Linked DNA regions of Struthio camelus. The protein of the gene in region 1 interacts with the protein of each later gene in a biochemical or structural test. Links are inferred from orthologs where the notes say so. Each region holds a gene or a part of one and is shown in the gene's direction. Other genes may lie near its edges.

Region 1 (8,000 bases):
GGGGGCACATTACCAAAGACTTTAAACTAGTTAACTCCTCCTCATAATGCATCACGGCAAGAATGGGAGAAAAGGCTGAAAGTGATGTTCACTTCAAGTGCAACCTGCTTCTACTGCATTCAGTGGTCACCCTCACAGCATCTTGCTTGCCTGTCAAGTCCTGGCCAAGCAGCCTCCACCACATTGTCCTAGCTTCATCTTCTGCTTAAGCCAAGGCCTATCCTGTGTTAAGCCAACTGACTTGCAGTCCGCTATAGGTGGCTGCCATGAAAACCGCAGGGACTCCCTTAAGAGCTCAAGTCTCCCTGTCTGCATCAAAAACGAGTAGATCTGAGCCAAAAGTGTCATCCTCACCTCCAATTTTCTAAAAAAGAAGACCGACCACCGTTCCCTACCTCAGTAACAACCTACATTCCCATAATCACCACCTAGTCACTAGAGGGATTTTTTATCTCCCCATCACCGAGTTTGAGCTCTAACTGAGACCCTCAAGGTTTCATTATATTACTGATGATCTTTTCCTCTTCCTCATTGTTTTATCTGCAAAGGGAGCCATAAAGGGTTCAGCTATCAGCAACCTGAAGCATTTGGCTCCCAAAGGCTCATGCCACTTTAGTGTACTCTTTCTGTTTAAAAAGGATAAGCTAAGGTAAGATTGTTCATGAAAAGATACCTGTCACCTAAGGGGTTACATTTACAGAACTTCAAGATCTAATTTTCACTCTGATAATTCTTTGAAATCAATAGAAAAAAGTATTATCAAGTCCTTTCTATTGGGGTTTTTCACATGAAATGAGGACAAGACGTGCAGTGTTCTGCATACATTTACTAAGACATCTCTAGAGAAAACTATTTTCTTCTGCAAAGCTCTGAAATGAGACATCAACAGCTACTGAAATTCATATGCCAGAGACTTGGTTCACTATGGCATTTCTCCAGCATTACAAGTAAATTGTGAATTAGGCTGGGAATTCTATTTTCAATGTGCTTTTCCTCCCTCTGAAACCATTGTCTATTACATGTAACTTGTGTATAAGAAGCAATTTGTGTCTGTTCCCCTTCAGCAGCTGGAAAAGGACACTCGTTTCCAAATGTTCAGATGCAAAGACGAGCTTTTCTTCAGGGCTTCTACTTAGTGATCGAGTTATCAATTATAATTGTTGATTTTTTTTAACCCAGGATTACTTCAATCACATAACTGAAGCATCTCACTGGAGCCTGTTTTATGGAGATTATCACTGCAGAGTACAGGCTAACCACTCGTTCTCCTCAATTGCAATTCACACCCATGCCCTAGAGCTGCGGTAGGGATTAGCGAGGAAGCAGGGAGTGGTGGCTTTTCCACAGGGAATTCCAATCAGATTTCTCCAAATTCAGAGATTGCTCAACTGAGCAGATCCAGTTGCCTTCTAGCAGCTGGTTATACCAGCACAAAGTAGCTGAAAGCACTCAAGGCAGCAAAAGCATTTATATCCCATAATATCTGAGCACTTTAGAATATGTAAAGTACTTACATGAAGCAGGAAAGTACGATTATCCCCTCTGTAATGGAAACAACTTAGGCACACCAATGGCCATGCTTAATCTACGGCAAGCCAAGCTACTCCAGTTCCAAAAAAGCTGCAAACATACAATACAAAACCTAAAAGTGATTCAGTGTCTCCTCAACAACAGCTTGGAATAATCCTGGAAGAATTAAAGCGAATTCATCACACGGCTTGGTCAGCCATGCACTACTGCTACACAGCAATTTGCTCGGGGTATATTCCTTAATGTATCATTCTTCCCATATCCACAGCCAAGAGTGTTATCCCCAGCTCCTCAAAACAGAAGCAAGGTTGAGTCTTTTCAAACCCATGGGTTATCTTACTCAGAGAACTCTCCTTCCCCTGTCTCTGGATCCAGTCAGTACAATACACACATTCCTCCATCTTCATCATCCACATCAGCTGGATCCAGTCCTGCATTTTTTCTCCATCTGCTTTCATCTGCAGGTTCCTCATATTTACATATGTGGATTCAGAGATGTTTCTCCTGTTTTTTCAGAGGAAAACCTGTGACATTTACAAGCAATATTACCTCATAACAGTGATGGGCCATGAGCTGACCATTACCAGTCAGGGACAAGATCCTGGAATCAATAGTTCCAGGGAAAAAAAAAAATCCATTTGATGCTGTGCAGGGGCCAAAAAAAAAAAAAGGCTAACTCAACTGTCAGGAACTACTAGAAAAGAAAGAGCACGGGAAAAGACCATGATTATGTATATCCATGGTGTCCTTGTCTTGGATATTTTGAGCAGTTCTTGTTCTTTGTGCTATAAGGATGCATGTGACTGTAAAGATGATCAAAGGTATTTATCAAAGTTACGCAAAAAGCTTCCATACAACCAGTAACTGGAGTAGACTCTAGCAAGGACTTTAGGAGTATCACCTAAAAATGCAGGGATAAAATTACGAAGGTCAAAGCTAGGCTGGAATTGAAGCTGGTAAGGAATGTGAAGGATAAAAATAAGGACACCTGTAGTACATTAGCGGCAAAAGGAGGACCAAGGAAATTGGGTTGTTGCTCAGTGGGAGAGAGCATATAGTGACACAGGACATGGAAAAGGCTGTGTCAGTGCCATCTTTATCGGCGAGGTGTCCTCCAGGGGCTCCCAGGTCCCTCTACATCTGGTAGTAGTTTGGGGGAGAAAGGTGCTACTCACTGAAGAGGAGGATGAAATTAGAGACTACTTAGATAAACTGGAGATATACAAGTTCACCAGATCAGGTGGGCTAGCTCTCCCAAGTGTGCAAAGAGAGCTGGCCAACACCATTGCAAGGCCACTTTCTATCACCTCTGAAAGGTTGTGGTGTTTATGGGAGCTCCCCGATGACCAGAGAAAGGAAATGATCTAGGGAACTTCAGGCTGATTAACTTCACCTCAAAGCCTGGGAGGCTATTGCCAGACTCCATAAGAACAAGAAGGTGACAAGGAACAGCCAGCATGAATTTAGTGAAAGCAAGTCAGCCCTGACCAACCATATTGCCTTCTGTGATGAGATGACTTGCTCTGTGCACAAGGGGAGACCAGAAGATGTTGCTCACCAGGGCTTTAGCAAGGCCTGTGGCATGATTCCCCACAGCATCCTTATAGCCGAACAGGAGATAAGGACTGGACATGTCGGGTCTGCAACAGAGCAAGGGAAAAGTAGGAAGAGACCTGCATCTTCCAGACATACAGTTTCTGCATATTATTATTTCTGAGGTGACAGAAAGGCTCAAGGCAGAATAAACTTTGCCTTAAATCTGAAATTTTAATATATCAAAGTTGGCAGGTTGGCTACCGTGTGGGAGAGAGCCTCCAGATACAACCTCATTTAAATGTGCTCATTTAAATAACTATTTTTAGATGCATGTCCGGGGTTAATGTCCATCGGAGCATAGCCCGGCAGTGTACCTCGCTTCGACACCACACTGAAGTATGGTATTTCATTTAGTCTTAATATTTCAAATATGTCTGCCCACCATATTCTCTGAGAGTACTAGTACTGCATGCACAGATTTGTAATTACATAGTTTTAAGTCCATTGACCTTAGCAGCTATTGCCCTGTAACATACATGATAGGTTTTTCAAAATTGTGCTAAAGATTGTAATGTATCAATGTCTTCTTAAGAATTCTCACATATTCAGAGACGAATTGTTAAGATTCTTACAGATCTTAAACACACATTTCCTGGCCCAGAGCACATAATTGGTTTCAGTATCAGGCCTTTGAGGACTTATTTTTTATGATTTTAACATCTTATTCTGACATTTTAAGAGCGTCCCCCCTGACTCTAGATTAGACTTTTAAAAAAATCTATACTGTTTTCTAGGGTAAAACGACCTCCATTCAATTTCCCTTATTAAGGGACTACGTAAAGAAGATTCAGATCTGTTTTCCTTTTCTTTTCCTTTCTACTTACTCCTTCTTCCCCGTTATATGCATGAAGCAGTTTTGCGCCCTGTGCCTCCCATTTTTTTTCATAGTTATGTATTTACACGTATAAGCTACGTTGCAACTAAAACCTCAGTGATTCAAGAGTGAAATCATCAACGGTTTGAATAACATTAGGCTTTGGTAACCTGGATATACACCGGCGCTGTGCCCTTCCACCCATCACCACGGGCAAAGGCAGCAAGACCCTCGCTACACTTCTTCACTTCAAGAAATGAATAATCCAGTCCTCACTCTCCCCTTCCTTTCCCTAATGCTGGTTGCAGTGCAGGGAGAGTTGCACGGCTGCCTTGCCCAGTCTGGGCTCTGCCTGTCCTGATGCGCTTTGCCTAGTGACAGCAGCAACATATGGCTCTTCTGCTGACTTGCTTCCAAAGGTCACAGGCCGTTCCTCTTCCTGCACGCTTCTGCTTGCTGGCGCTGGCACTCTGCCCAGATTAAACTTGATAAAAGACAGCAAACCCATTGCCCCGGAGCTCCTGGCGTGAAGATAGATCAGATCACTGTGACGGGATTCAGCTGTGGAAGTCCTCGGTGGAGAACTCACTGAGAAATTATGAGGCGGTGGCTGCACTTTTGGCTATAGCAGCAATGTGCCTTGTTATATCACCACCCCTCAGCCTGTGTGCACGTGTGTATGTATGTTGCTATAGGTGTATATGTGTGTGTGCATATAGGTATGTATGAATGTGCATGCGTGCACATATATAAAGGTACATGCGTGCGTGTATGTGTTGTGTGTATATGTGTGGATGTGTATAGGTATGCATAAGTGGGAGTGCACGTGTGTAAACGAGTAGGCAAAAACGTGCATGTCGACGTTATGTACATGTATGGGTGCGCTTACATGTGCTCGTAGGTGCCCGTGTACGTCTAGCTGTGAACGTCCGCACGTCTACAGGGGTGTATGTCTACGTGCAGGCGTGTATGTGTGCGTAAGGGCTGTTCCGAAGGAGGGGAGGGGGCGTGCGCGGGTATAACGGCTGCGCCCGGCTGCCCAGAGCGGCCGCGGGGCCGCGCAGACCGTTGCGCCCAGCCCGCGCGCCCCTCCGCCAACGGCCGCACGTCTCCCTCGCACCAGGAAGCTCCACCCCTCCCCCACCCCACCCCACCCCACTCGGGATCGCCCCCCCGGAGGGGGGGGGAGGAGGAGGAGGAGGAGGAGGAGGAGGAGGAGGAGGAGGAGGAGGAGGAGGAGAAGAAGAAGAAGAAGAAGAAGAAGAAGAAGAAGAAGAAGAAGAAGAAGAAGAAGAACAGCCGCTGCGCATGCGCGACTCCGACCTCCACCCCACCCCCCCGCTGCCGCCGCGAGCTGGGCGCGCGCCACCACTCCGCTCCATAGGGCCGGAGCGTGCGCCCCGCCCCTTCGCTGCCCTCTTCCAACATGGCGGCCCTCGCCTCTCGCACCAGGCACGCACGCGCTGCCCTGCCTCCCTTCCGCCGGGTGCCCCGACTGAAAAAGGCAGGAGGAAGCCGGCTCGGAGACTCTATGGTTTCGCGCGGTGGGTAGCGTGCCGCAGCCGCCTCGTCTGCCCGCCCCTCCGCTCGCGTTGCACGCCGGGACACAGTGGGTCCTCCTCCCTTGTCCTCCCCCCCACCCCCCCCAACCCGCCGCGAGTCCTCCGAGCTTGCGCCGCGCCGATATCCGCGTTGCTCCCAAGATGGTGGCGCGGGGCTCGGGCTGAGAGCGAGCGAGTCAGCGAGAGAAGGCGCACCCCGCGGGCCCGGCCCGCCCTCCTGCCCCCCCTGCGCGCCACCAGCCTCACCAGGCCGCTCGCTTCTCCTTTCCCCTCCCCGCCGAGGCCGCGGTCCGGTCTCCTCCGCTCCGGGGGCCCCAACGGCTCCACCGGCAGCAGCAGCAGCGGCGGCGGCGCCTCCTCCTCCTCTTCGCCTGTGGCCCGGCCCCGAGCGCGGCGCGGCCCCCGCATGAACCCGGGCGGCAGCGTCGGCGGGAGTGACCGGGAGCAGCAGGCCGCGGCGCCCAGGTCGGTAGGCGCTGCGCAGCGTCCGGCCCGGGGGAAGGTGGGGGGGGGGGACGGGACAGCGCCCGCCTCGGCTCGCCTCGCCCCGGCCCGCCGGCGAGGGAGGCTGCCCCCGGCCGCGAGGGGGAGGGGGGCGGCGGGGAGGCGCGGGCGGCTGCCGTGGTGCCGTCCTTCCCTGCCTGCGAGGCACATGGGTACGGGCTGTCCCGTCCGTCCCCGGCAGCGGGAAGGCCGGGCGGGCGGGCGGGCGGCTCGGGGCTTCAGACCGTCCGCCCAGGGGAGCTGGGCTTGCTGCGCCCTGGTCTTCCTGGGAGACCTTGGGTGAACCCAGCCTGCCATTGCCTCCGTTTTCCGGCGTGGCGGAACGGAGCGGCGGCGCTGCCTGCTCTGCCGGGCTGCTGTGGGGATGGAGAGCTTTGGTGTCTCTGACATGGCCAGCTGTGCCAGTTGGGGAGGTAGAGGTTCGTGCGGTACTGCTGGGGTTCATAACGAACGGGCAGGGCTTGCTCAACAAAATAGACGTGCTCTCTTGCTCATACTACCTTTTATCCTGTGTGAAGAGTTGGATCTCCTAAGGTGTGAGCAAGCCACTTTGCTTATAGGTGGGATCTGTCGGTCCTGACGGTAGGACTCGTTGGACTTCGGTTTTTAGTGTATCTGCTCTATTTCTTCTAAAGGAAGTGCATGGGTTCTCAGTCCCTTTGTAAAGATGATGTGACATGGCTATTTGGAAGTTAATACTGCTTGGGAAACAAAATATGTTCCACGACTGTCCTTCAAGTGGCAAGAACATGTAATCTGTAAACTTGTAGTCATGTTTGCTGTCTTCCTAGAGTGTTCAAATGAATGGGAATGATTGTTATGTTTCTTCCTGTGTAAGAGCTGTCCTGAGTTCTGGTTTTGGGATGAAGCCTGTCTCATGTGTTACTTCTGAGATGCTCCCACTGTATCTGTAAGGAAACTGTTGTACCTCAGTAGGATTCGGTGTAAACCTGGGGTTCTGTGAGAATCAGCTTGTCAAACTAGCCTGGTACACAGCCTTTTGCATGTGTACCAAAAAGTTAGTTCTTCATTGAGAAATTATGCCTGATTGTAGCTTTGATTTCCTAAGAAAGTAGGACCTATGTGATTGTATTGCCAGCTTATCTAATAGTTTAACTGGTTTACCAGTTTGAAAGGGAGAAGTGTGAAAGATAAGATGGAGTTTCTAAAAGTTTCATGCAAATAGCATCCAGTTAACTGCTTCTCCCTTGGCAAGGAGTTTCTAACTATAGTGTTAAGACACCTTTAACTGGGTGGAAGAAGGGTGGAGGTGGTAAGGGATACCTCTTGGTAAGAATGAAAACTGCTGGAAGATGGGCTTTACAATTCTCACGGAATACTTATTGTGCTGATTAAGAAGATCTTGATCACATGTTTTGGGTGGTGTTAGAGTAGCTCAGTACTGTTGCATTAAATACTCTATGCCCTTTCATCTTGGAAACAAATAAAGGCACGTTTTTTCTTCTGAAAATACTGTTAAAGTTTAAAGAGTGCAATTATTGTGTTGACTTGAACATAGGAAGCATGCATTATCAAATTGCTGTGGATGTTTGATAGTTTTCCTCATGTAGTTTGCCTTTTAAAACAGATGCAGTTTGGCTGTTCCTAACAGTGCTTATGATACTGCTGTCCTCATAACAGCAATGGTCTGTCAAGTCAGTATAGACAAATCTTGGAAGAAAAACTGTAACACTATTTACATTCAAAGGACTGAAAAATACCTTTAATCAAAATCACTTAATTACATTATTACAGATATTCCATCTCTCTTTTGGAAACACATTCTATTCCACTCTTAGTGTTTACTGTTTAATTCCTATATGAAAGACACTGCATTAACAACTCTGTTTACTAGAGTTGTTTGATATTCTTCCTCACTGGAGTATCCTGAATGTCTCCCCAGTATTTGGAAATAAAAGCATCAAGTTCCCTTTCTAGATGGCAGAATAAATGGTTTGATTTGTTTGTTTTCTTTAGTGGTAATAATCGCATGT
Region 2 (7,231 bases), on another chromosome or scaffold:
GTGGCTGGCTGCTCGCTGCGAACATGACGCCCACGTTCTTTGCGCGCCCCACGGCAGAGAATGGCCAGGTAGCTTTGTGACATCGTGCCCACAACCACATGGCCTCACTGTGAGGTCACAGCGCTGGGCTTTCACAGCTCTGACTCGGGGCAGAGGCAGGAGAGGTAGGGCAACCCCAAGAATTAGCATCATCACAGGTCTGGCAGTTTGGCCACCGCAGACTGAAAGAGCCCAGGCGAGCAGCAGGGCCCAAGGGAGGCACCACTCTGCCTGGAGACCCGCCTGCAGGCAAAACCTCCCTCGCTCCTCGGAGCAAGCTGCCCTCTATAGCTCCCGCCAAGCCCAGCATCCTGCTCTGCCCACATCAGCATCTCTCCTAACCCCTACTGCTGGTCAGGATGCCCAGCCCCACTCTAAGCTCAGGGATGGGATTACAGCTCTCCTCCAAGATCCCCAAATCTAATTAAGTCTGTCCCATCTCTGATGTGATTATCATCCCATAAACTAAGCACGGGCAATGCACATGCCACAGCACTTGGTAGCGAGTGGAACGAAAAGCTCGTCAGCTTCTGGCACTGCTTCCCCTGTCGCCACCGCAGCAGGGCTTGGGGCTCCCAGAAGGGGCTGAGACCCAGGCAGGAGGCCCCCTGACACACCCTTAGCCATGAGGCATGCGGGTTTAAGGAGAGATGCTGCCGGGGCTCTATAGCAAGACCACTGCCGTGCACCAGCAAAGGGGGTTCCCCACAGCAACCCTGTCCTGTCTCCAGACTCTGCCAAGAGATGTTCCCTACTGCCCTAGAGGCCTCCAGGAGCCAGGCTAGAGAGAGGGGGCCTTTGGAGAATGGAGGATTTCTCCAGGCTTTTCATCTGCTCTTAGGATCCAGGCACTCCTTCAGGGCACAGCCCACCTGCAAACAGATTTGGAGCAAGTTGGGGCACAGTTGGAAGAGGATCAGGCTGGTTCTGCCAGTCCCAAAACTTCTAACTCCCAGCCCTGGGCCATGGTAGGGGGGACAAGACTTTCACACAGAGGTGAGAACAGAGCAGTCAGAACTCCCTCACATGAGACCCAGATTTTCCCAGGAGCACCACAGCTGTTCCAGGCTGGACAGCAAAGTCCAACCAATCCTGCAGACAGGGCACCGGAGTGCTGGCCCCGTACCCACCTAATCTCCCTTGGCAACACCAGCCAGGGCAAGGGGCTGAGCTCTCACCTGAAAGACATCTCCATTGACAGTGGCTCCTCCATTCTGGAAACCAGCTAGAGAGGAAGAGAAAAACAGCTATGGCAGCTGCAGGTGACCCCACAGGGGCTGGTGTTCATGAACCAGCGGCAAGTCGGTTCAAGAAGGACGTGACTTTGCTGTTTCCAACCCAGCACACCAATCCACAACAGCCCTCCATACATGAGGCAGAGACGGAAGACCTCCAGGCTGGCCAGAACAATGGACACCAGCTGAGCCACATCAGAGCTCAAACAGAAGCCAGCAAGGTCTCTGCGTTCAGAGGACGTCACGTTCCCAGCCCAATCGGCTCTGCCTGCTCCCAACAGGGCCCCAAATCCCCCCCTTTCCAAAACAGAGCAGAGCATGGCAGCACAGCCCACCCTGCCTGCCCCAGGCCCCAGTACCCTCGCCCCACACTGCCTACTGATGCCAGCAAGGGGAAGGGGAAGTGCACTGTCTGCACTGGTGTCCAGAGCCAATAACCCAGCAAACCCTCCCTGCGCTGCTGCTGTATGGTACCTGGGGTCTCCTTCCACCCGTGAGAGGGCTCAGGGCTGCGTCCAGTGGTCTCCTGTCCCTGGTGGAATTCAGCCAGCACCTCTCCTTCCTAGAGGAATCTCCCTGAGCATTTATGTCTTTATGGTGTTTTCACTGGTGTTTTATCTTATCTGGAGATTAGGGTGACTGTTTAAGGCACGGGACTGGACAAAGATAGATACTTTGACTGCACCGAGACAACCTGAGCAAATCTGAACCTGCAAATGGCCAGGCAGAGGATGCCTGTGGACATGGACTGGTGACCCCACAGCTGTCAGCTGAGTCTCCAGCAATCTCCAGCCAGCAAAGGCAGAGCTGTTTTGAGCCTGTGACAGGAAGGCAAACCTGCCAGGAACGGAGCCCACAGAGACACTGCAGTGCACTCTGCGAGCAAGGAGGAGGGCAGGCACGCATACCGAGGTCCTCAAGAACCTGTCTGGGGAATGCACGCAATTCCCTGGGGTTGGGAACGAGGCACTGCTGATGCCCATGGCTGCAGTACATCCCCACCTCCTTCCCAGCACCAGAGAACTTCCTGAGAGCTGCACACCAGGGCCACAAGACCAGCCCCATGGGGGCTCTCTGTTGCTGTGCAGAGAAGAGGCTTCGCAGGAGGCAGACTCCAGGCCCTGAGCTCTCATCAACGAGGGCCAGGCCAGCCAGGGGCACAGACAGCCACACAGTGACAGCACAGCTCTGGAGCAGCTCAGACAAGCACTCTCCCTATAGCACTGGTCCTACAGCTCCGGCTACACCCAGCTTCAGCCTGTCTGACTGCATTTACTGCCACAGCTGCCAACGCCTCTCTGGGCTCCAGAACCGGCTCCATGGCCCTGCTTCTGGGGTGGTGAAACACCACCCCGCAGCCAGCACGGGAGGGCCCTGCAGGCCTGCCAGGGGAAGGAGCCAAGAGGACTGTGGCAGCAGTGGGGCCCAAATGGAGGCATGAGATCCGGATTAGCACCTTATACCTCCAGGGGCTGAGACACTGATGTCCCCGCTGGAAATGCCTTCCATTTTGCATGCCAAAGCACTCTCCGGTCTTTGGGCCAGTGAAGGGGCTGCCCAGCCCCATATGGATGGCTCACTGTCCCCTAATCCCACCTGGATCCCCTTCACCCTGCTCCAGCCAGAGGGACTGAGACGTGGGGGAAAGGGAGGGTGTCCAGCCTGGGGAACCTAGCCTGACCATACAAAGAAAGAATCATTCCACAGCAGGCAAGCCCAAGCTCAAGGGTCATGCCAAAACCTGAGGTTCAAGGAGAGGGAACCCCAAGCCCTGGGGAGCCAAGCACAGCCCCCCGGAGAATCATGACGGGGATGCAGATGTGGGGCACAGGGGGGTCCCCACTGCCTGCCCACTGGGAGTGCAGCACAGACCCAGCACACGGGGGGTTCCCATCACCCACTGAGGGTACCGTGCAGCCTGCAGGGGACCCCAAATCAGCAACCACCAGGGGTGCAGCCCGGGACTGACCCCACTCTGTGCCCATGGGAGTGCAGATCGGGGAGGGGGGTGCCCCCCCACCCCTTCTCCTTCAGGGAGCAGCCTGTGGGGATCCCCTCTGTGCCCTCAGTGGGGCAGCCCAGGGACGGATCCTCCTTTACATCCATGAGGGGTGCAGCCCGGGGGGAACCCTCCCCTCGGGGCCTTCGGGGGAGCAGCCCAGGGCCGGATCCTCCTGCCTTGAGGACCGCAGCCCGGAGGCGCGCCCCCGCCGGCAGTGCAGCCGGGAGGACCCCGCGGCCCCCGGCGCGGCGCTCACCCGGTTCCGGCGGGGCCGGGGCCGAGGCCGGGGCCCCTTCGCCGTCGGTCGGCCCGAAGCCCTCGTCGTTCTCGATGCCCGCGATCGCGCTCTCCTGCTGGGCCAGGAAGTCGGCGGCCGGGTCCTCCTCGGCGGCGGCGCCCTCGGACGAGGAGAAGAAGCCGAAGTCGTCGGCCATGGCGCCCCCCCGCGCTCCCGCTGCGGCTGCAGGCGCGGCGCGGCCCGACTGGGCCCGGGCGTAGCTGTCACTGCGGCGGCGGCGGCGGGGGGGGGGGGCGGCGCCGCCTGACATCAGCGGCGGGGCGGGCCAGGCGGGGCCGCGCCCGCGCACCGGGCCCGCGGGGCCCCCAGCCCGGCACCCCCCGGCGCAGGGAGAGCCGGGCTGCCCTGCTGCCCCACCGGCGGGTTTCCCTCCGGCCGCCGTGTGGGCACACGCAGGCGGGGGCGCCCCATGTGCCCGGCAAACGGCACACCACCCCCCCCCCCCACCGCCGCCGGGCGCCCTGCCCAAGCGGGGCCCTGGTGCCCCGCGTCCTGCTCCTTATCCGCCTGCCACCACCTTGTCGCGGTGCTGCCCCGGCCGCTGCCGGAGCCCCCGCGAGCCTGACGCGGTCCCGGCGCGGCCCCTACGGCCGGGCACTGGGGCGCGGGCTCTCCGGGTCGCCCCACTCCCCCCCCCCCCGCCGCCCGTGGCTGCATCGGCCCTAGCCACGTGCTCGCTTTTAGCCCTTTTCATTTTGAACGCGGGGCCGGGCTCCACCGCGGCCCTGGAGCTGGCGGGACGGCGCAGAGGGCGCCCTCCGCCTCCGCCATCTTGGCTGGGGACCCCCCCCTCGTCCGCCATCTTGGGTGGGGCCGTTGCCTGTGGGTGGGGGTCCTCAGAGAACTGGAGGTGCTTGGACAACACCCGCCGGCGGCTGCGGGACCACCTCGGTGACTGGCCGACAAGCCAGCGCCGCGTGGGCTCCGGCCTGCGAGTTCTGCCACGGTCCCCCCGCCTCCCCCGGCGACCCGCGGCCGCCAGCCCTGGGCACAGCCACGGAGCAGGCCTGAGGCGGCCGCCGCCCTCGGCCGTGTCCGGAAATGCCCGAGCGGCTTTCGGAACTCTTCGTGTGCCAATCGGGAGCGCCCGAGCGGGTCGGGCCTGCGAGCCCTTCGGACGCGGTTCGGGCATCTCCGGCGGTCTCCGAGAGCGTTTCGGCCATCTCCGGAACGCGGCCGAGTATTTCCGGCTGTGGCCGAGTAAGCGGCCGTTGGCTCGCCAGTCGCGCCTGCGCGGGCGCGCGTGCCAGGAGAGCCGGGGCGGAAGTGCTGGTGGGCGACGTCACTTCCGGAGAGTGACGGAGCGGCGGGTCAGAGGCGGCAGGAAGATGGCGGCGCCTGAGGAGCGGGAGCTGACGGCGGAGCAGACCGAGAAGCTGCTGCAGTTCCAGGTGCCGCGCCGGGGGGGCACCGGGCCGCGCCGGGAGGCAGCGGCGGGGCGGCTGGGCTAGCCTGCGGGGCTGGGGTCCTGCTGGCCTGCCGCGGGCCGGGGGGCACGGGGCGCCCGGAGAGCCGCTGCAGGCCCCGCCCGGAGCGGGCCCGTGTGGGAGAGGGGCGGGGGAGGAGAGTCCTGTAGGTCTGGCCCGGGTGGGGGCGAGGGGGCCGCTTCCTGGTAGGGCACGGCCCCCACTGGCGTGGGGGTCCCGCCGGTGCGGGGCTGGCACTGCTCGGGCTGCCCCGGGCCGCCGCCCGCCTCGCTGAGGGTCAGTCGGCGCTCTGCGTGCTCCTGGCATTTCATGAGGAATGGTGCCTGTCAACGTTAATTCGGAAGGCAGGAAGCGACTGGTGAATAAACCCCATTACCTCTGCGTAGGGGAAACTTCTCGGTCTGTTCCAGCCATTTTAATTATCTAGTGTGAAAAATTCCCCTTGTTGTTACTGGTGAAAGGAAAACCCTTCCTGTTATGTGAGGAGGACTGGCCAGCGGGTTTCTATACAATGCGGTTTCTCACAAAATTGTTCCTAACCCTCAAGGTTGGGTAATAGCTGTTGGGGGAAGGCCACTGGGGCTAGTAATGATCTAATCTTGCTATCTGCTGCATAGCATGGGCTGGGTGACGTAACCTTTGGTTTGCCAAGTCCATGGGGCTGTGCAGCAGTCAGATAATTTAAAAAAAAATGCAGATTTTTCTTATTAGAAAAGTGTGCTGCAGTCAGAGTTGAAATACTTTGGGCTGCTCGGTGAAAGGTAATTAAACTATTACTGATGAATGAAAATTGTGGTCAGGTGTCTTGGGTTTGTTTTTGAATTGTAGGGCATTGCAGAGACTTTCTTGGACTTTTTTTTCCTGCAACAAAAGTAATCTTTTCTTTCAAGAGTTTTGTTTAATTTTTGTTCCTTCATGTTCAGTTTATCTTAAGAACATGCTTTGCTTTTTTTGATGCAATATAACTGTAGAATTACAGAGCTTAGAGGTATTTCAAAAGCATCCAGTCCTGCCTCCTACTACTGAGCTAGGTCATTTCAGACAGATATTTGCCTAGCCTTTCTATTTGACACCTCTGAACAAGGGGATTCAACCATCTCCTGAAGTAATACACTGCAGCGTTTCTCCATGGTTGACTTCTTGCTGATACGACATCTGAATGTATACTGCAAATTAAGCTGATTGGGCAGTTTTAATTTACAGTCAAATGTTCATGAATAGCTTTAACAATTTCTTTCCCAGTGCTACTGTTTTCCTGGTAAGTGTGTGAGCTTCAAGACGCTGACTTGTGCTGCATATTATTGCTAACGTATATGTAAAAATCGACTTTTGGGTCTATTTTCCTCAATGTTAGATATCGCAGTACTTAGTCATCTGCTGAATCTGGATAGATAGGATCAGCTGCACTTATTAGTTTCACTGCTGCTATTTTCAAAGCCCTGTGGGCAGCAGTGAAACTGTATGGAATTGTGTCTGTTTCCTAATGCTACCTCTGTTACTGCTGTGAGTAGCAGGCTAGGGCGCTGGAGGCTCCTGAGAAAGGAGGGAGAAGGACTCAAAAGGAGGGCTGTATGTGTTAGTCCAGCTTTCTTGTGAGCTCTAGTTTGAAATGGAGGGAGAGGGCAGAGGAAGAAGTCCCTTAGAAAAAGGGAGAAGCTTTAAGGTTAAGACAGCTGTTGTCCAGAGCTTGATATGAAAGAGAGAATCTAGAAGGCTTCAATACCAGGATCCTCTCATTCATGTACAGCCTAGGGTACACAGGATTAGCATTTCACCAGGGTTGTGCTAAGGACCTACTTCACTGGTGATGTCCATCTCCTGTGTTATCTTTATACCTGGCTGGAAGGGCTCGGGCATGCGGTCCTGCTTGTTGTGCTGGAACGAGAGTAAATCAGTCCATCTGGAACAGCTTTTGTTTCCTTTAGCTCTCTGAGAAACTCTGGATTCTTTTAAATAGCATGCGCTTGGAGAAGACTTATGTCTTGCTAAAGTCATCTGTACATTGCTATTGTTGCAGAGCACACTTACAGTTGGAAAACTGCAAACCTTCCAGGGATTCTCACCCTCTTGGCAGGGGGCGCTTCTTGTATGCTTTCTAAGGTTGCTTTACGCTTTCATTGTGACACACCATCATAAAAAGTAATTTTTGCAATATTCTGCAGCCACAAAGCATTGTGTTTCCACAGAAGTCATACCACTACAATGTAAATAAAGTGGGAGAATAGATTAG
Region 3 (7,607 bases), on another chromosome or scaffold:
AAAGTGCTTTTTTTACTCTGAGTTGTTCCCTTCTTCCCGACTAACAATTTTATCATCTCCAATTAATAACAGATCTAGGATGTCTTTTATTGCACATTTGGATAAACAAACAAAACATGTCCTTAATTCTGGCAGTAACCCACAGGCTTTCCTCTGAAGTCTTCAGTTCCATGTTTTTTCTCCTTTTTTTTTAAAGTAATTTTCTGCACTTTGCTCTACAGACTATTAATTATTTCCTCTTTCTAACTATATTCCAGTAATCCTGGTAAGAGTGGAAGGAAGGGGAGGAGCACTGATTTTTTATACTTCAGCTTTTTCTCCTTTCAGGTTTTATCCAATCTTGGCATATTTCTCATGGGTGTTTGACCATCAGCTCAGATTAAACAGAACTAAAACAGAACTCGTTTCATCATCTTTTATTCTTCTTCTGTTTCCTCTTCCTTCTCCGTGCTCTCTTACTTCCTTTTTTGATCACTGTGGACAAAGCTCTCATCCTTCATGTTGCTCTGGCCTGGACGTCAGTGTTGGTTTGGACATCCATGCTGACTGGCATGTGCAGTTTAACTTTGAATCTTAATCCCTAATTTTAACCAGGCTGTGATACTAGACTGTACCGCTTACTTATTAGATTTTCAAACCAGATGATGTTTTGTGTTTTCTTCCCCAACTTGAGGAGTCCCTCCCACACAGGAGGAATTCCTTCTTCTCAATGATATCCAAAAAATTACTCTTTGGGGTACTCTTTGGAGGCTTTGGAGCCTGCCTTGAAATTCCCTCTCCTCTGTGATATTAATCAAAATGTGACAGCGGTTGCCTGAATGGTTCAGCAGCGAGAATGGTCTTGTACTTTCACTAGTTTCCCGATCAGTCTATCTGTTTGTCAGTCTGCATGTCTGTATCTGGCATCTATCTCTTTTCTTCATTGTCTTAAATATCACACAAAGGTTTCCCCCCAGAACATTAGTCTTAGGGACGAAAAGATCACTCCTACATATGACAAACAAAAAATTAGGAGTGGATTTACCACCAGGCCTTTGCAAGGAGCACCCTGAAGCACAGGCAGTGAAGTATCAAGACTGGAAATCTCCAGAAGCTGAAGTTATGAAAAGCTTGAGAGGTAGCAATGGGTGCACGCAGGAAGCAGCCAGGATACAGCAGCTCTCCTCTAGATTTTCACCTGACCAGGATACAGATGTCTAGGTGTAGTGAGGGCTGGCTGCTCCCGAAGGGCAGGGAGCCGGGACCTGATGGTGACCCCAGCGCAGCCGTGCCCTCGCCCAGGAGTGCGCCCTGCAGCACTCAAAACAGGGCAAGCAGAGCTGGATGCTGCCAGCAGGGTCTGGAGACAGCCCCAGGCTCAGCGAGGGGGTTGGCCAGATCCAAGGTCCAGTCAGGAGCAAAGGGAGACAGGGCTGGGACGGGGCTGGAGACAAGGCTACAGGTCGGCTGCGAGGTGCCCATCCAGGAGGCAGGGCCAGAGGCTGGGCTTGAGACAGACAAACCTACAGCTGCTGTGGCATGGACTGACGGCCCCTGGCTGAGCTAAATGGGCTCCTGGGCCTGGGGCTGGGGTGAGGGCAGGCCTGGGAGGCCATGCAGGGCCGGTAAGGCCAGTAGAGCCCCCAGGGCTCTACTGTAGGATTTGAGGCTTGCGGGCCTCCTCCCTGCCTCCCATCCAGTCCATATTAATTCAGAGCCAGCTTCTGGTGGGCATCCTGGGTACAATTGCCCTGGGCCAGCTGCTCAGAGGTGCCCTGGGGCATAGAGGCTCCACAGACAGAAGATGGCAAGCAGAGCAAAACCAGAAGACAGATGGTGGAGTGTGGCCTGAGCCGGGTGTGTGGCAGGTGGCAGGACCAGGCCCAGCCCGCGCCTGCAGCGGCGGGAAGGCGGCACGGAGCCGTGGGGCACAGAGCCGCGGGGCCCCAGGGGGAGGACAGAGCGGACCGGACAACCTTGTGCTGCAGCCAGCCAACACTCATCCCGGTCAGGTTCGTGTGGTGGCAACAATCTCGCACTTTGTTAGTGCCCCCAGGAAAGGCCTCATCCTTGGCCATGCTGGGGGCCAGGGGTGGCAGAGGGCAGGGAGGATCTGGCAATGCCATCCAGGGCCAACAAGGGGCCCCAAGAGGTTGGGGACAGCAAATGGGCTTCAGACGTGACGTTTGGGAAGCGGGAACGGGCTGGAGAAGGAGATGCTGTGGGGAGGAGGTCCTCGAGGGTGGACATCTGGCAAGTGACAGGCATGGAGAATGCGCTCGTGCTTGTATTGCAGATTATGCAATATGGGCACTTTTTAGTAAAAAAAAGTCAGAGTTATGTGATTACATCACTCTCCTCTCTCTCTCTCTCTCTCTTTTTTGTGAGCTTCTACTCTTCACAGATGCAGAGAAAATTTGGAAAATTTTATCCAAAAGGTAACAAAAAAGTGATGATAAGGTTAAAAACCCAAATCAAACCAAACCAGATCATAACTTTTTTCGAATAAGACCTAATTTGTGGATATTTGGGACTGGCAATCATGTAGAACGGAAGTTTTGGGGAAAAAAAATGATTGGGAACAGGAAGAATGAGGACTTTGTTTGAAGTAGCAGTCTGAGGTAAGAAATATGCTGGAAGGGAAACAGAGCATAAGAACCTCTGCTTGCTGAGATACATTCATCTTGCTCTTGATTTAGCTCTTTGGCCCATGCGGTATATAAATTATTATAGTATTAGAGAAAGAGCCCATTACAGCTATACTGACTAAGATTTCAAATACAGTATTTCCGAATTCTTTATGTAACAAGTTTGACAGCTCATAAAGTTTGACCATAAAGTTTGGCAGCTTGCTATCTGTAGAGTAACAGTTTGTCTAAAACAAAGCAGGAGCTCTGTGTATGTGTCCCAGTTACTGCAGTCCCTCGTCTCTGCGCTGGACTTCAGCCAGGAAGGGCACACTTTATAGATTTACTACATTCCCAGTTAGGGCACCCTTAACAGTTCCCTTTTCTCCTTTTTCTTAGTTTTATTATGATTTAACTTTTAGGCCTTTTCTACTTTTTAGGTAGAATTTAGCCATTAGATTTCAGTGCAGACTTGTGTGGGCAAGCGTGGATGGCACTGCTTATTTTGCTGGTGCTAGAGCTCTGGAAAGGCAGGAGAGTTGCTGCTGCTACTGCTGCTGCTGCCACTGCCACTGTTCCCCCCAGGGGTGGCCAGAGGTTGTTGCTGGAGAAAGAGTTTGCAGCCAGTGCTCACCAGGCCCACCTTGCTATGTTGGCAGTCAAGGAGAGGCAGGTTTAGCTTTTTAAGGATCTACCTCAACCCCTCTCTCTTTGTCTTGCCTCTTTTGTTTCCTCTCCCTTCCCCTGCACCCCAGCCGACATGCTTACCCTTGAGTCTGCAGAGCTCCATCGCCTGTGTTTCTGAGAAGACTTGAGGCAATTCTGGTACAGGGCTAGGTGCTAAAAGCAGATAACTAACATTTTTCCCCAAAGATTTGAATGAAAGGACAGAGTTATGGTCAAAGTGGCACCCTATCAAAGGATTAACTACCTCTGATAGATTGTTGTATCTAGATAAGTATGTCACAGGTGCTGCTGATTGAGTAAATTTGCCAGAATTGTGCGGCATTGCATCAGTTTATCACTCAGTAACCTAGTCAGATTGTTGCTGGGACAGAGATGTGAAACCAGCCAGAACAAAGGGGCTGTTCTGTTCATGTAGCGTGAATTAACTTATTAGTAGGTTACAACTACTTGTTATAAGCTTAATGCACTTTTTTTTTTTTTCCTTCGGTTCATCGTTATTTCAGACACGAGTTCAAATCAACAACAAAGTTTGCTTCTCTTCCAGGAAGTGATGCCTACTTAGGGCAGAAGATTCAAGGAATGTTCTTGGCTTGAATGTTAAAGAAGCATTCATTGTTTCATTGCAGTGACTGCTTCCTTCACATGGATTTAGAAATCAAACTGCCTCTCCTTATAAATTTGTCAATACGTTCCTGTTGATTTTTTTGAAGACTCATAAAAAAATCTGTTTTTTTCTGCTCAGATTTTTACTGGGGAGAAGTTCATAAGTTGGATGAGGGCTCCCTAGAATTTAGAAAGAAACAGAATATACTAATGTCTAAAAAAATGGTTTAAAGGGATATTAAAATATAAAGAATGTGGTTAAGGATAAGTTTGCTGATGGATAGTGCTAAATCATTCTAAGAAGTATGGCTGAGAACAGGACAGAAGATCCTTGTTTTATTTATCCTTTGTATTGCTTTATTGCCACAGGTTTTGGCTTTATGTAATTTTTTTCAAGAGTGTGTTTACTGAAAATACAGTGTACTGACCTGAGAGGGAGGTCCTTGCTCCTTTTTCCTCAAATAACCTTCTCAGTGGCATACACATGACCCCATACATGGTTTGCAGAAGTTGCATCTGGCTCAGGAAGTCTCCGTAACAGGAAATAGTTGGAGGTTGGGTGAGTACTGGGAGAAGTGACTCATACACTTGCCTGTTCTTACTCTTCCCTAGACATCTGCTTTCAGACAGTGTTGGAGGCAGCCTGTAGGGTGAGGCAGATGGCTGTCTGACCCAGCATGTCCTGACACACTTTCTACCTGGTGGTCGTTTTTCCTCTACGTGTGGAGGGCATGATTTGCTCTCCAGCGCTGCTTCCACTGGTGGCTCGAGGTGATGCAAGGATCAGCACAGCATGACACATCACTTGTGTTCAGCCGGAAGCCTGCTTCTTGGGAAGCAGGCAGTCAGGTGCGTGTAGGGGAAGCTCAGCTATAGGCAGTCAATTTTGTCTAATCTTCATAGCTTCAGTAGCTATGATAGCTTCGGTCTGTCAGGAGGAAGGATATGGTAGAAATATTTTCATGGCATCATCTGACTGCCAGTATACTGTCCGGATCTGATCATTATAAATAGGGTTTTGGCCTAAGCAGTGAAGAGCGAATTCCTACTTAGCAGCTCATTCTGCGGTCTTGGATTGGCTACAAAATAACTTGGTCTCGTGCGCAATTTAACTTTTTTTCACCTGTGTCCAAAAGATTTAGATGTTGTTTGATATCCAGGACTCAGAGTAATGAGCCTCTGGAAGATCAAGGTAGAGATTTTGAGCTTTATTATTTATTTTCTTGGTAGCCTGTACTACTGAACAGATGTGGTATAGATGAAGTGAGCAACACATTACTTCTGAAGATTCATAAATCCTGATGTTTACTGGTTCCTGGCTCATGCCCATGTGACTCCTCATCCCATGGAGGAGAAGGGTTCTTGCCTCAGCTGTATTTCTGGGTGATGGTTCTCTCTTACAATTCTCCTCACAGAAGTCAGAGGAATCACTATGGGCGGCTGGAGGAGTGGGTTGTTGTTTTGTTTTGTTTTGTTTTTTCCCCTGGAGAAGGAGCATAAAACAAGACTTGGAACAGAGACAACAGCAAAGTGAACCAAAATGTTCATGGGGCTTTTGTATATACAAAAAATACTCACATAGGCACTTGTGGGTGTGTATGTGCAAGTGGTAGAATTAGTCTATGTCTTGCATATATGTGCGTGAGTGTATGCTAGAATTCATCCTGTCCTTTTGAAGAGGATGTAATTAGGGAGTGGCAAAACCAGCCAAATATCAGCTAAACTTATTTATTATTAACCGATATCAGCCGAATTTAAATTCAACAAATGTGAATAAAGTTTTGGAAGGAGAGGTAAGCTAGAGGTAGGAAAGCTCTTCTTTTCCACTGCTTATTCAGTTGCTCCATGGCAAACCTATGTATCACTTTTTTCCCATGGATTCTCTCATTCTTTTTCTGGGGCCCTTCCCTTCCCCCTTAACTCTCACTTTCTGTAATATAAAAATAATACATCTGAAAAGGGTTTGGATGCAAAGTGGGAGAGGCAGTACCTGCCTCCATGCTGGTGAAGGAGACACAGGATCTGGCCTCAGCAGGACCATTGCCAGGACCCACACAGATGAGACCAAAGGCCTGTCCTACTGTGTGTCCTGGTGGCTGAGCTGATAAGCACTGCCTGCAACGCTAGGAAAGAAAGAAAAGGAGGTGGTGACTCCTGCACAGCTAGTAAATAGCTAAAGGAATGTTTTATATATGGCCATAATTCTGTGATAATCTAAATAATTAAATTGAAAGCTTTTTTTTTTGGCTGTATGTTGAAGGTTATGCTACTTATTGGTGTATTTATTTTAATCAAATATTTTTGGAGGCTCAGACTGTTTTTAATTGAAAATACATCCTGTCCTCAAAATATTGATCCTGGAGAGCCTAAGTTAAATAATGATAGCAGTAACAGAAATTTCTTTAGACCTGACTGCCAATACTAATGACTAGTGACAATTTTCCTTTTCTAAATACGGACTCTGAGTTTTGTGCCTTAGTACTAATTTGATGCTTTATTGCTGGAATAGTTTCTATTTATTTTCTACTGTACCAGGGGATCACCGTCTGCAAGTATCATCTTCCTACAATACATTATTCTAAGCTATGTTACATTACACTGGAATAGTATGCATGCTGTAGTAGGAAATGCTTTAATTCTGAGCCTGATTTGCAATCACACTGTATCTAGAACTAGCTAGCTAGCACATTTAGAGCAGGATTAAATTTCTGGCAGAAAAAAATTGGGCTTCTCAAAAAGCGTTTAGCAAATTCACCTGTGTTTCACCAAATTTTTCCATTTAAAACCAGGACATGAAAAAAGCATTACAAAACATTAGGAACTTTACTTTGTCATTTGCATGATAAAATGTTTTGATGTTTGACACAAAATCAGCTTTTACTTTGAAATTTCTTTGATGTTATTTAAATAGTAAAAGTTTCATGTTTAGAATGCTTGATGCTAGCCACTTGCTTTCTGTCAAACAAAATGCTTTCTGTGATCTGCTGATAGCTTCCTCTCACGCCCTAACATGTTCAGGGTTTTCATGAGGTCATATTTCAATGAAAAGTCGAGAGAGGGAGTGTAGAAGAGCGAGGGAAAGTCTCTTTTGTTTTTCTCTTAATTTCTCCTACCAAGCATATAGTCTATACCTTTTCCATCTCTCTTGATCTTCCCTTTTCTTTTTTCTTGTTCATGGCGATCCCATTCCAATTAGTGAAAAGAATTCGTTACTACTGTTCTGTTTTCCCTCGACTTCTCTAAACTATTTAACATGAAGTAGCTACAAAATTAACATGAAATTAAATAAATTGTGATAGTAATACAAAAGGCAAGGTAATCAAATTTGATCTTGATTTAAGTTTCAGCTGAGAAAGACTTGTGTTAACAAGAAAATGTAGTTTTTCCTTATTAATTCCTTGGCTTGTGTGGGGTAGTATCACTATTGTTTAGCTGGGAATTGTGATGCCTGCTCTAATTAAGATTTGCTATTAGATCTTTAGATCTGCTATAACATCTTTCCATCAGCTGCTGTTCATTTAGGAACCCTTTACCTTTTGGGCTGAAATTTCCTGTATTTGATCCCTGGGAAAATTTCCATTTTCTTTCCCCTTATCTCTTTTGAAAATTAGAGGAAAATTTGTTTGCTTATTATATTTTATTATGAGAGGTGGGAAATACCTAATTTCATAAAAGTTAATATGCCTAGAGATTTTGCCGGCTATGTGTCTG
Region 4 (7,662 bases), on another chromosome or scaffold:
TCTGCGCGAGGTATCAGTTTGTTTCAGGCATTCCTGCTTGCGAGCGTGACATTAGCAGCGAGCTGACTTTAGGAGACCCAAACAGGTGATTGTTTCTTTTCTGCTCTTCACAAAAGGCCTGATGCAAAACTCACTGGAGCTGGTGGAGAGGCTCACAGAGATGTAAGGGGCTTTGGCTCAGGCCCAAACAGACCAGCCAGCAATAATGCTGAGAATGTATCTGGAGTTGAGATAGTACAAAGGGACTAATCCTAGTCACCTTCCTTTAACAGCAGGCTCAGTGTGATTTGAATTGGCTAGCTTCTGCCGTGAATTAAGCTCAAAGCCCCAAAGGCAACTCGATTCTAGTCATCTAGCCTTGCAGCCTCCTCCAAATTTAATCCAGAGGGAAAATTGACTAATCCTATTCAGTTGCTACACTGAGCTAGTGCCATGGATTAAAAAAACTTGGGGCACAGGGAGACTGAGTAATCTGGGTCAGTTTTCCTTTGCAAGTCCTTTGCAGAACTTGACAAAGAAAAGGGGGGGGGGGGGACTGTTGAGAAGGAAAGGTCACTTGCTAAAGTGAACGCACACTTTACCAAAAAAAAAAAAAAAAAAGGCAGCAGGCAATCAGTGAGGTTTTGTCAAAATTCCCAAGATGGAAAGAGGTTGGATTAGGGGAGCTAGTCTTCCTTTTTTTCTGGAGTAAGGACCATGTCCTCGACTCTTTTCCGGTTCTTCAGTGTCCACGCAGGACTGAGAGGACAATCATGGGCTGGAGCAAGGCAAGCCGCAAAAATGCTTCTGGAGAGTGGATGGCACATTAGTTGGCTTCTTGGCTGCAGTCAAGAGAACAGCACGTTGGCTGATCTCTGAGGTGAGTCATGAAATGGAAGTTGCCCCTGTAACAGCTGCTCAAGTAATGACATTAGTAGGTGCTTTCAGAGAATGCATTTTTAGGTAAGCTTCAAAGTAAATAACCACTGCTGCTGGTCATCATTTTACTGTGAACAGGGTTACCCACGACTGTGTGCTGCAACAAAAGGTTAGTTTATTGATAACCCCCTATGAAGGTTATTAACATAAAAAAAGGAAAAAATGTGTGTGGGATTTTGTAATAATCTTTGCATTTTCTCTGCCCTCTATTACAGAAGTGGAGGGCTTTCATTATTAATCTGTTGTCTCATTTGACTTTGGTGCATGTTTCCTGTGATGACAGGAATGGACTGGAGGTTTGTTTTTAGTGAAAGTGAAGAATTTCTGTTTTTAAAAATTTGTTCCATAAGCAGTGAACTTTGTGAAGCCTGATCACCTGCTTTGTGTCCTCTTGTCTCCTGCGTTTGCTTGATACGTACCACTACATTCCCAGTTCCATCCTCCACTGCCTTCACAGGCTAGTTTGGAGAATGCTGACAGGCTGGCTGATTGCTGTTGGATATAAAGTAGCTGAATTCTGCGCCCCCCCCCCCTTCAGTGAGGAGCACTAAGTGATACAGCTCTCCCTCCTTTATCTAAATGCCAGTTTTCATGAAATTTATTTGCCTTTGAGGCCTTTGTTTAATGGCAGATATGCCAAAGCTCCAAAGTTATTGGGAGGAAGGATGACCACGAGTTCAAAAGCTTTGTTCCCATAGTTGAAAGTAGAAAGGTGGGCTCTGCTAGCAAGCTGCTTCTGGAGGCCAATTCACCACGGTCTACGTACTGCAGGTAACAAAGACTGAAGAGGAGGGTTAGCAAAAAACAACAACAACAGGAAATGTGAAATTGTAGTGGAATTCCTTATTTTGTCAGAAAGGACTCTTACAATGTCATTGGTGTATCCTCCTAATATACTGTGCTATTTAACTACACAGGAGAGTGGGCAGCAAGTTTGGGGAGAAGCTTTGGGAAACCCACGTGAAATGAGGTGCTGCTGAGTGGTGCAGAAAGAGAGAGGGGAAAGAGAAAGTGGAGAGGGAAACAGCACATGCACTGTACCAAGGAAATGGAGGGAAAGGTGACAAAAGGAAACACTGTCCTCACGTGGGTGTCCCTTCCAGGGGCGCCTCTGACCCAAGGATCACTGGATTGAAATGGTGAAAGGTCAGTGTCACGACCACAATGATTAGTTACAAACCTGTGAAGCCACGGCCTCGTGGAGGAGGGGCTCAACAGCCCCAGGCAGCTGTGCTTTCAGCTGGCCCAACACCCCTTTTCTTGAGGAAAATCCCCCAAAGTGCCCCCAAAAGAAGCCACGGGCGTTCTGCATCTGACCCAACCCAACATTTAGGTTTTCATCCCCGTTCAAGTCTGTGACCTCGCAAAAGGAGCAGGTGCCCCAGAAGAGGTCCACCGCCAGGGTCAGCTTCACATCGCCCGCCCCACCAGGGCGTCCTAGGGCAGCCCCCGCAGCAGAGCTGCCCCGGCCATTTCAACTTTGTGTTAACGCCGCAGGCTCAACGAGGCGGGATGCCCGTGCCGGCGAGCGGAGGGCTGGAGGGCTGGGTCTCGGGGGAGCCTGAGGGCAGCACCCCGAGGAGGCACCTTGCCATGGGGGGCTCCGACAAGCCGGGCGGCAGGGGGACCCACAGCGCGGGGGGCTCCTCAGGGCGCCCAACGGTCGCCCCCCCCGCCGCGCGCTGCCCCGTTAACGGCCGCCGCCCGCTGGGGCCATCTTGACGCGAGGGGGCAGGGTGCAGCACCTCCCTGCCGGCGGGGCCCGGAGCCGGCGACCGCGGCGCTGTCCCCGGGCTGGGCGGGCAGCACCGTGTCACCCAGCCGGGGTCATGCGGTGAAAGCCCGAGACGGGAAGGCTGGGTTTTCAAAAGTAGTCAGCGCCCGGCTCCCTTCCTCCTTCCTCTCCCCCCCCCCGCCCGGAGGGGCTCTAACCAGAGGTGTCCCTCGCCCCACGCCGCGCGGGGGGGGGTCGCGGTGTCCCTCCGTGCCCTGCGGGCTACGGTTATATAATGTAACCCCTTAGACTCCTGAGGCGTGACGTCGTCATGTCGCTGGCCGTGCTTTTGTCCGAATATCGCGCATTTCAGCCTGCAGATCACTTTGGAGGTCCTGGAAACCGAAAGAACGATGACAAATACGAAGCCCTATTCATTACGATGCTGGACGGTGGAGATGGTCATTATATTTTCGGCCACTAAAGATATCAAGTAATTCGATATGTGATCTCTTGATATGCTATGGAAACTGATGGCACTGAGCCAAATTTATCCCGGAAAAGTCGATAGGAATGCTCATTCCTATTGTCCCTTCAGGAATAGGTCCAGCACTTCAATTAAGAGCTATGGCAACCTACAAGGACTACAGGGAAAGGTGACCGAGTGTACTGTTCTTCTGAACATGTGGTAGGTATGGTGGGTCACTCTTGCCAAATTACTTTTTTTTCGCTTCGTGGGCAGAGAGTGAGCGAGCGACAGCAAAGATTTGGGGGAGAAGAGTAAAAAGCCTCGAAAATCCAGTACAACAGCACTCCAGTCGACTGAATGCAGCGCCCGTCATGCACACGGGCTCCCAATTTGGGGACTTAAAAAAAAAAATGAAAAAAAGAAAAAATCCCTATTACTTCTACCTTGGGAAAACCGAAGCAGCGTTTTTTCTTTTCTGTGGCTGCCAAGCCCCGAGCCCAGGATTTTGTTTTCTCTCCCAGCATGCGTTGATGACATCACGAAGTGCCCCTTCTTTGTGTGTCAGTGATGTCACCAAGTGCAGTGTGGGGGACAATGGAATCCTGAACTCCGGGCGAAGGCAAGTGGGAAGCGGCTGCTCCTGCTGTTGATCCAGGGCTGATCCAGGAGAGGGAAGGGAAGAAACAGCTGCTGCTTTAGGGCTGGAACAGGTGAGAGGTGGAAAAGCTGCTGAGGGGATCCTTTTTGGCTTGGTTGTGGTGGGGGGTTTGGACTGGGCTTCTTTCTTTCTTTCTTTCTTTCTTTCTCTTTTTTATTGCTTTCCAACTGAGACAGGTGAGAAGTTGCTGCTGCTGCTGGAGGGACAAAGCAGATGAGGAAAGGGAGAAGCTTTGGGGCTGAAACAGTTGCAAGAACAAGGGGAAAACAACCAGCCTCCCCCCCCCACACACCCTGATAATCGTCTCTCAGCCTTAAAAAAGCAGCACCAGGAGCTTGTCCCCTCTCCCTGCCACCTGCCTCGAGCTTGTCCCCTTGGGGCTTTCGCCCTGAAGCAGAAAGCACAGCCGGGGGCGGGGGGGGGAGGGTGTTTATTCCTCACCCCCCCTTCACACCTTCGCAGATTACTTTCCAGGGGGTCTCCATTACAAACTCACGTCCCTGCCCCCCTCCATTGCCCCTTTCCTCCATCGCGGCGGGGGGGTTGCGGCTGCTGGGATCCCCCCGCCAGCCCCGGAGCCGGGGCTCGGCCGCCGCCGCCGCCGCTCGGTTCCCCCTCGGCCCGGCCCGGCCCGACCCGGCTCCGTGCGAGGCCGCGGCGGATCGCGCCCCCCCCCCGCCGCCCACCGAGCCCCCGCTCGGTGTTGGGGGGGAAGGCAGCCAGGGAAGCCATTGCCTGTTTAATAGTTGCTGTTGCAGCACTTCCGCTTCTCTCCCAGCGAGAGAGACACGAGTGGCCAGGCCCAGCCGCACCGAGGAGGAGCAGCCAGACACAAAGGGAGAGGTAGGGGCACGGGGGACCCCCCGCTGCCCTCCCCGCCGGCCCGGCCGGCCCCCGGGGGCAGGGGCTGGCCCGGCGATGGGCAGGGAGGCAGGCAGGCAGGCGGCGGGCCAGAGGGATCCTGCCCGGGGCTGTCAGGTACCGCTGTCCCCCCGGCCCCGGCGCTGCCCGGCCCTGCGGGGCCCGCGGCCGGGGGGGCAGCGCGGCGGCAGCAGCCCCCGGCCGCCGGCTCCCTCCCCGCCGCCGCCCGGGTCGGCCCGTGTGCCGCCCCCCCCCCCCCCCCGCGCCCGGCCGCGGCTCGGCCGCCGGCCCCGCAGCTGCCCCCTCTGCCCGCACACGCTCCCGAGGCGCCGGCGCACCTCCCTGCCCCAGCACTTTGTGCCCCCTCTCGGGTAGGGACCTGCTTTCGGCCGCCCGCCGCGCTCGCCCTCCGGCCCTGTCCCCCGGGGGCACCGAGGTGCCCTCCGGACCCGGCTGTCCTCGCCCCGCTGCTCTCCTCGCTGCCCCCTGCCTCCCCCGGCCCTCCCCAGGCCCTCTGCTCTCACCCCTTGTAGGCCCTGGCCCTTCTGCTCTCCTCCCCCACCAGCACAGACCCTTTGCTCCCTTTCCCCTTTGCTGGCGTGCCCCCCCGGTGCCCTGGGCCTCAGTGGGTCCCCTCTGCGTACTCCAGCCCCTATTTAGCTGTTCCTTTTTTTTTTTCTCCCACCCTTCCCCCCTCTCCCCACATGCTCCTGACACCAGATCCAGCAGGCACAGGTTTCTTCCCCTGCAGGTTACAGATCCTCCTTTGGGGTGTCCCCCTGTTGCTGGTGATGCCCCACTTTTATTTTAGTGCTGGCAGCAGTGTCCTTCTTGTCCCTTCCCACCTTCCCCGCGTGCTTGCAGGGGACGCAAGAGATCGAAGCTGCTCTGTTTTTATTTCCTGCACCCCTAGGCTGGATAGTGGTGGGTGGTGATGGCTCTTCTTGTGTGTGCAGTTTCAGGGAAGATTAAAAGGAACTGCTTTGGGCTTCCCTGATCCTTGCAGTCCAGTCCCTTCTCCTCTTACTCCTCGTTTGCTTTCTGAGAGTCCCTTTAAAAGTCCCTTCCTCCTCAGTGTTGCTAGTGCAGGGGAGGCTACTGCTCCTCCTGCTTGGACTGTAGGACCTGAAGAGGCGAGGGAGACAAGAGGACCCTTTAAAAGGAACATGACCCAGACACAGAGCAAGATTGTCAGCTGCCTTTCTCTGTGTGTGTTTGTGTTCACTGTTTGTTCCCCACGCCCCATGGTGTCTCCTCTCCAGGTTGGGGTGTGTGGTGGGGGGGTCGCTATGTCGGATGACGATTCAAGGGCCAGCACCAGCTCCTCCTCATCTTCATCCTCCAACCAACAGACAGAGAAAGAGGCAAGCACACCTAAGAAGAAGGAAAGCAAAGTCAGCATGAGTAAAAACTCTAAGCTGCTATCTACCAGTGCCAAGAGGTGAGGCTGCAGCTAGATTTTTTTTTTTTTACTACTTCACTCTATCTTTTCTCCTTCCTCATTTTCTTTTGCTCCTTTTTCTTGCTGCTCCCTTGTTGCTCCCATTCCTCATCTCTAGCACTTATGTTCAACCTTTCCACAGAAAGCTGCCATCATCTCACTTTTTTCAGCATCTCTGTGCAGTAAGGAGTGTCTGCCTGACATTGCTGTTCTGTGATCTCTCTCCTTGCTTCTTCTTCCATTCCATCCCAAATATTTTTCTTTCTTTTTCTCCAGGCTGTTTTTCTATCCTCCAATTATTTTCACTGTCTTCTCCCTTTTCCTTAATAACATTGGATATAGGGATGTTTTAGGAATGACGTTTGGGAGCTTAATTCCTTTTCTGCTACTGGAAGCTATGTGGTCTTGAGTAGCATATTTAATTTCTATATCAGTTTCCCTCTCTGTAGAAAGGGGTTGATATATAATGGCTTTTTAGTTCCAGAACTACTCTGAGGATTAATTAATGTTTGTGAAGAATTTTGAGTTCTCTTAATGAAAGAAAGTGTAGATGAGTGCAAGTGGTGTAGTATAGTGCCAAATCTTTTCCACCAAATACATTACTATTTTCCTATCTGCTCATCACTTGTATTAATTTTTTTCTGTATAGCTGTACATTGACTAGAATAAATAATCCACAACACGTCCCCCTGCGGACATTCTGTTCCAAAATGTTTTTTTCTTACAAGGCAAGATGGCTTTCTTGAGGGGAAAATATTACTTTTATTCCAGAATAATGTCTATATTGGGGAGAGATGCCTGCATAGAATGCCTGCATAGTAGTAATTCCAGAACAGCTACATCAGTCAGTTTTCTTCACCTGGACAGACTGTTGGAGTCATTCAGTTAAAACGTTATTGCCCTTTCTTATTTACTCTGTGGTGCAATTTAGCACCATCCTGTTCCAGAAAGCTAAGCTGGCAAATGAAGTTCTCAAGCAAACTTTCAGTATTTCAATAAGAGTTAACAGTCTGTCTCACTGAAAAGCTTTGTCAAGCAGCACAGAAAGGTTATATCTGTAGATGTCAAAAATGACTGGGGTTTTATGCAAATGCTCTGCCATCACAACTAAGAGTTCTCTGTGGCTTTGTAGAATTTAGGCAGTTTGGTTATTCCACATCTCCATTCAGCATGTTTCCTTGGGAAACTTGTATAGATAGTGGCAAGTGGTGTTTACATGTGGTTCCCTTAGCTATTTTGAAAATAAGATAGTTTTAAAAGCCTGCTAATTGTGAAGTGTCTAATACAAAAAGACTAGGGTTCTTATTGCGTGTGACAGCTAGAAGAGAGGCAGAAGATGCTGGTTGAGTTTAAAGGGGAAGAGAGGCAGACTGAGTGCTGGGTGGGGAAATTTGGAGGGGAAGCTTGAGTGACAGTAATGGGACTCCAGGGAAGGGGATGATAGCTGGTTGGGCGTTTTGTGGCAAAAGCAGTGTGATGCTATGTGAGCCCAGAATAGGCTGGTGAGGGAGGGCAGGGTGTTGTCTGAATGTGGTGAAGAGAGGAGCGGCTGAAGTCTTGAGGGAAGGAACATGGTTGTTGTATGGTTTTTTGGAGGTGAG

The links.
Region 2: of the proteins of UBE3A (region 1) and FAF2, one has a biochemical effect on the other in vitro, tested with the Homo sapiens proteins (2 studies listed by BioGRID). The link is inferred for Struthio camelus from reciprocal best matches to the Homo sapiens genes UBE3A and FAF2.
Region 3: the proteins of UBE3A (region 1) and ESR1 form a complex in vitro, tested with the Homo sapiens proteins (2 studies listed by BioGRID, with this or other methods). The link is inferred for Struthio camelus from reciprocal best matches to the Homo sapiens genes UBE3A and ESR1.
Region 4: the proteins of UBE3A (region 1) and ubiquitin-conjugating enzyme E2 E1 form a complex in vitro, tested with the Homo sapiens proteins (2 studies listed by BioGRID). The link is inferred for Struthio camelus from reciprocal best matches to the Homo sapiens genes UBE3A and UBE2E1.

What each region holds. Positions count from the first base shown.
Region 1 is NC_090942.1:150,498,968-150,506,967, forward strand, and holds the start of UBE3A (ubiquitin-protein ligase E3A), read left to right. Parts: upstream 1-4,984; 5' UTR 4,985-5,967; intron 5,968-8,000. UniProt on the Homo sapiens protein: E3 ubiquitin-protein ligase which accepts ubiquitin from an E2 ubiquitin-conjugating enzyme in the form of a thioester and transfers it to its substrates.
Region 2 is NC_090954.1:10,069,421-10,076,651, reverse strand, and holds the start of FAF2 (FAS-associated factor 2), read left to right. Parts: upstream 1-4,230; 5' UTR 4,231-4,902; coding exon 4,903-4,965; intron 4,966-7,231. Other genes in the region: CLTB (clathrin light chain B), read right to left, coding at 1,218-1,264, 3,533-3,824. UniProt on the Homo sapiens protein: Plays an important role in endoplasmic reticulum-associated degradation (ERAD) that mediates ubiquitin-dependent degradation of misfolded endoplasmic reticulum proteins.
Region 3 is NC_090944.1:81,057,812-81,065,418, reverse strand, and holds the start of ESR1 (estrogen receptor), read left to right. Parts: upstream 1-4,592; 5' UTR 4,593-4,689; coding exon 4,690-4,745; intron 4,746-7,607.
Region 4 is NC_090943.1:44,086,317-44,093,978, forward strand, and holds the start of ubiquitin-conjugating enzyme E2 E1, read left to right. Parts: upstream 1-4,656; 5' UTR 4,657-4,677; coding exon 4,678-4,737; intron 4,738-4,899; exon of another isoform or gene 4,900-4,991; intron 4,992-5,882; coding exon 5,883-6,061; intron 6,062-7,662. UniProt on the Homo sapiens protein: Accepts ubiquitin from the E1 complex and catalyzes its covalent attachment to other proteins. Catalyzes the covalent attachment of ISG15 to other proteins. Mediates the selective degradation of short-lived and abnormal proteins.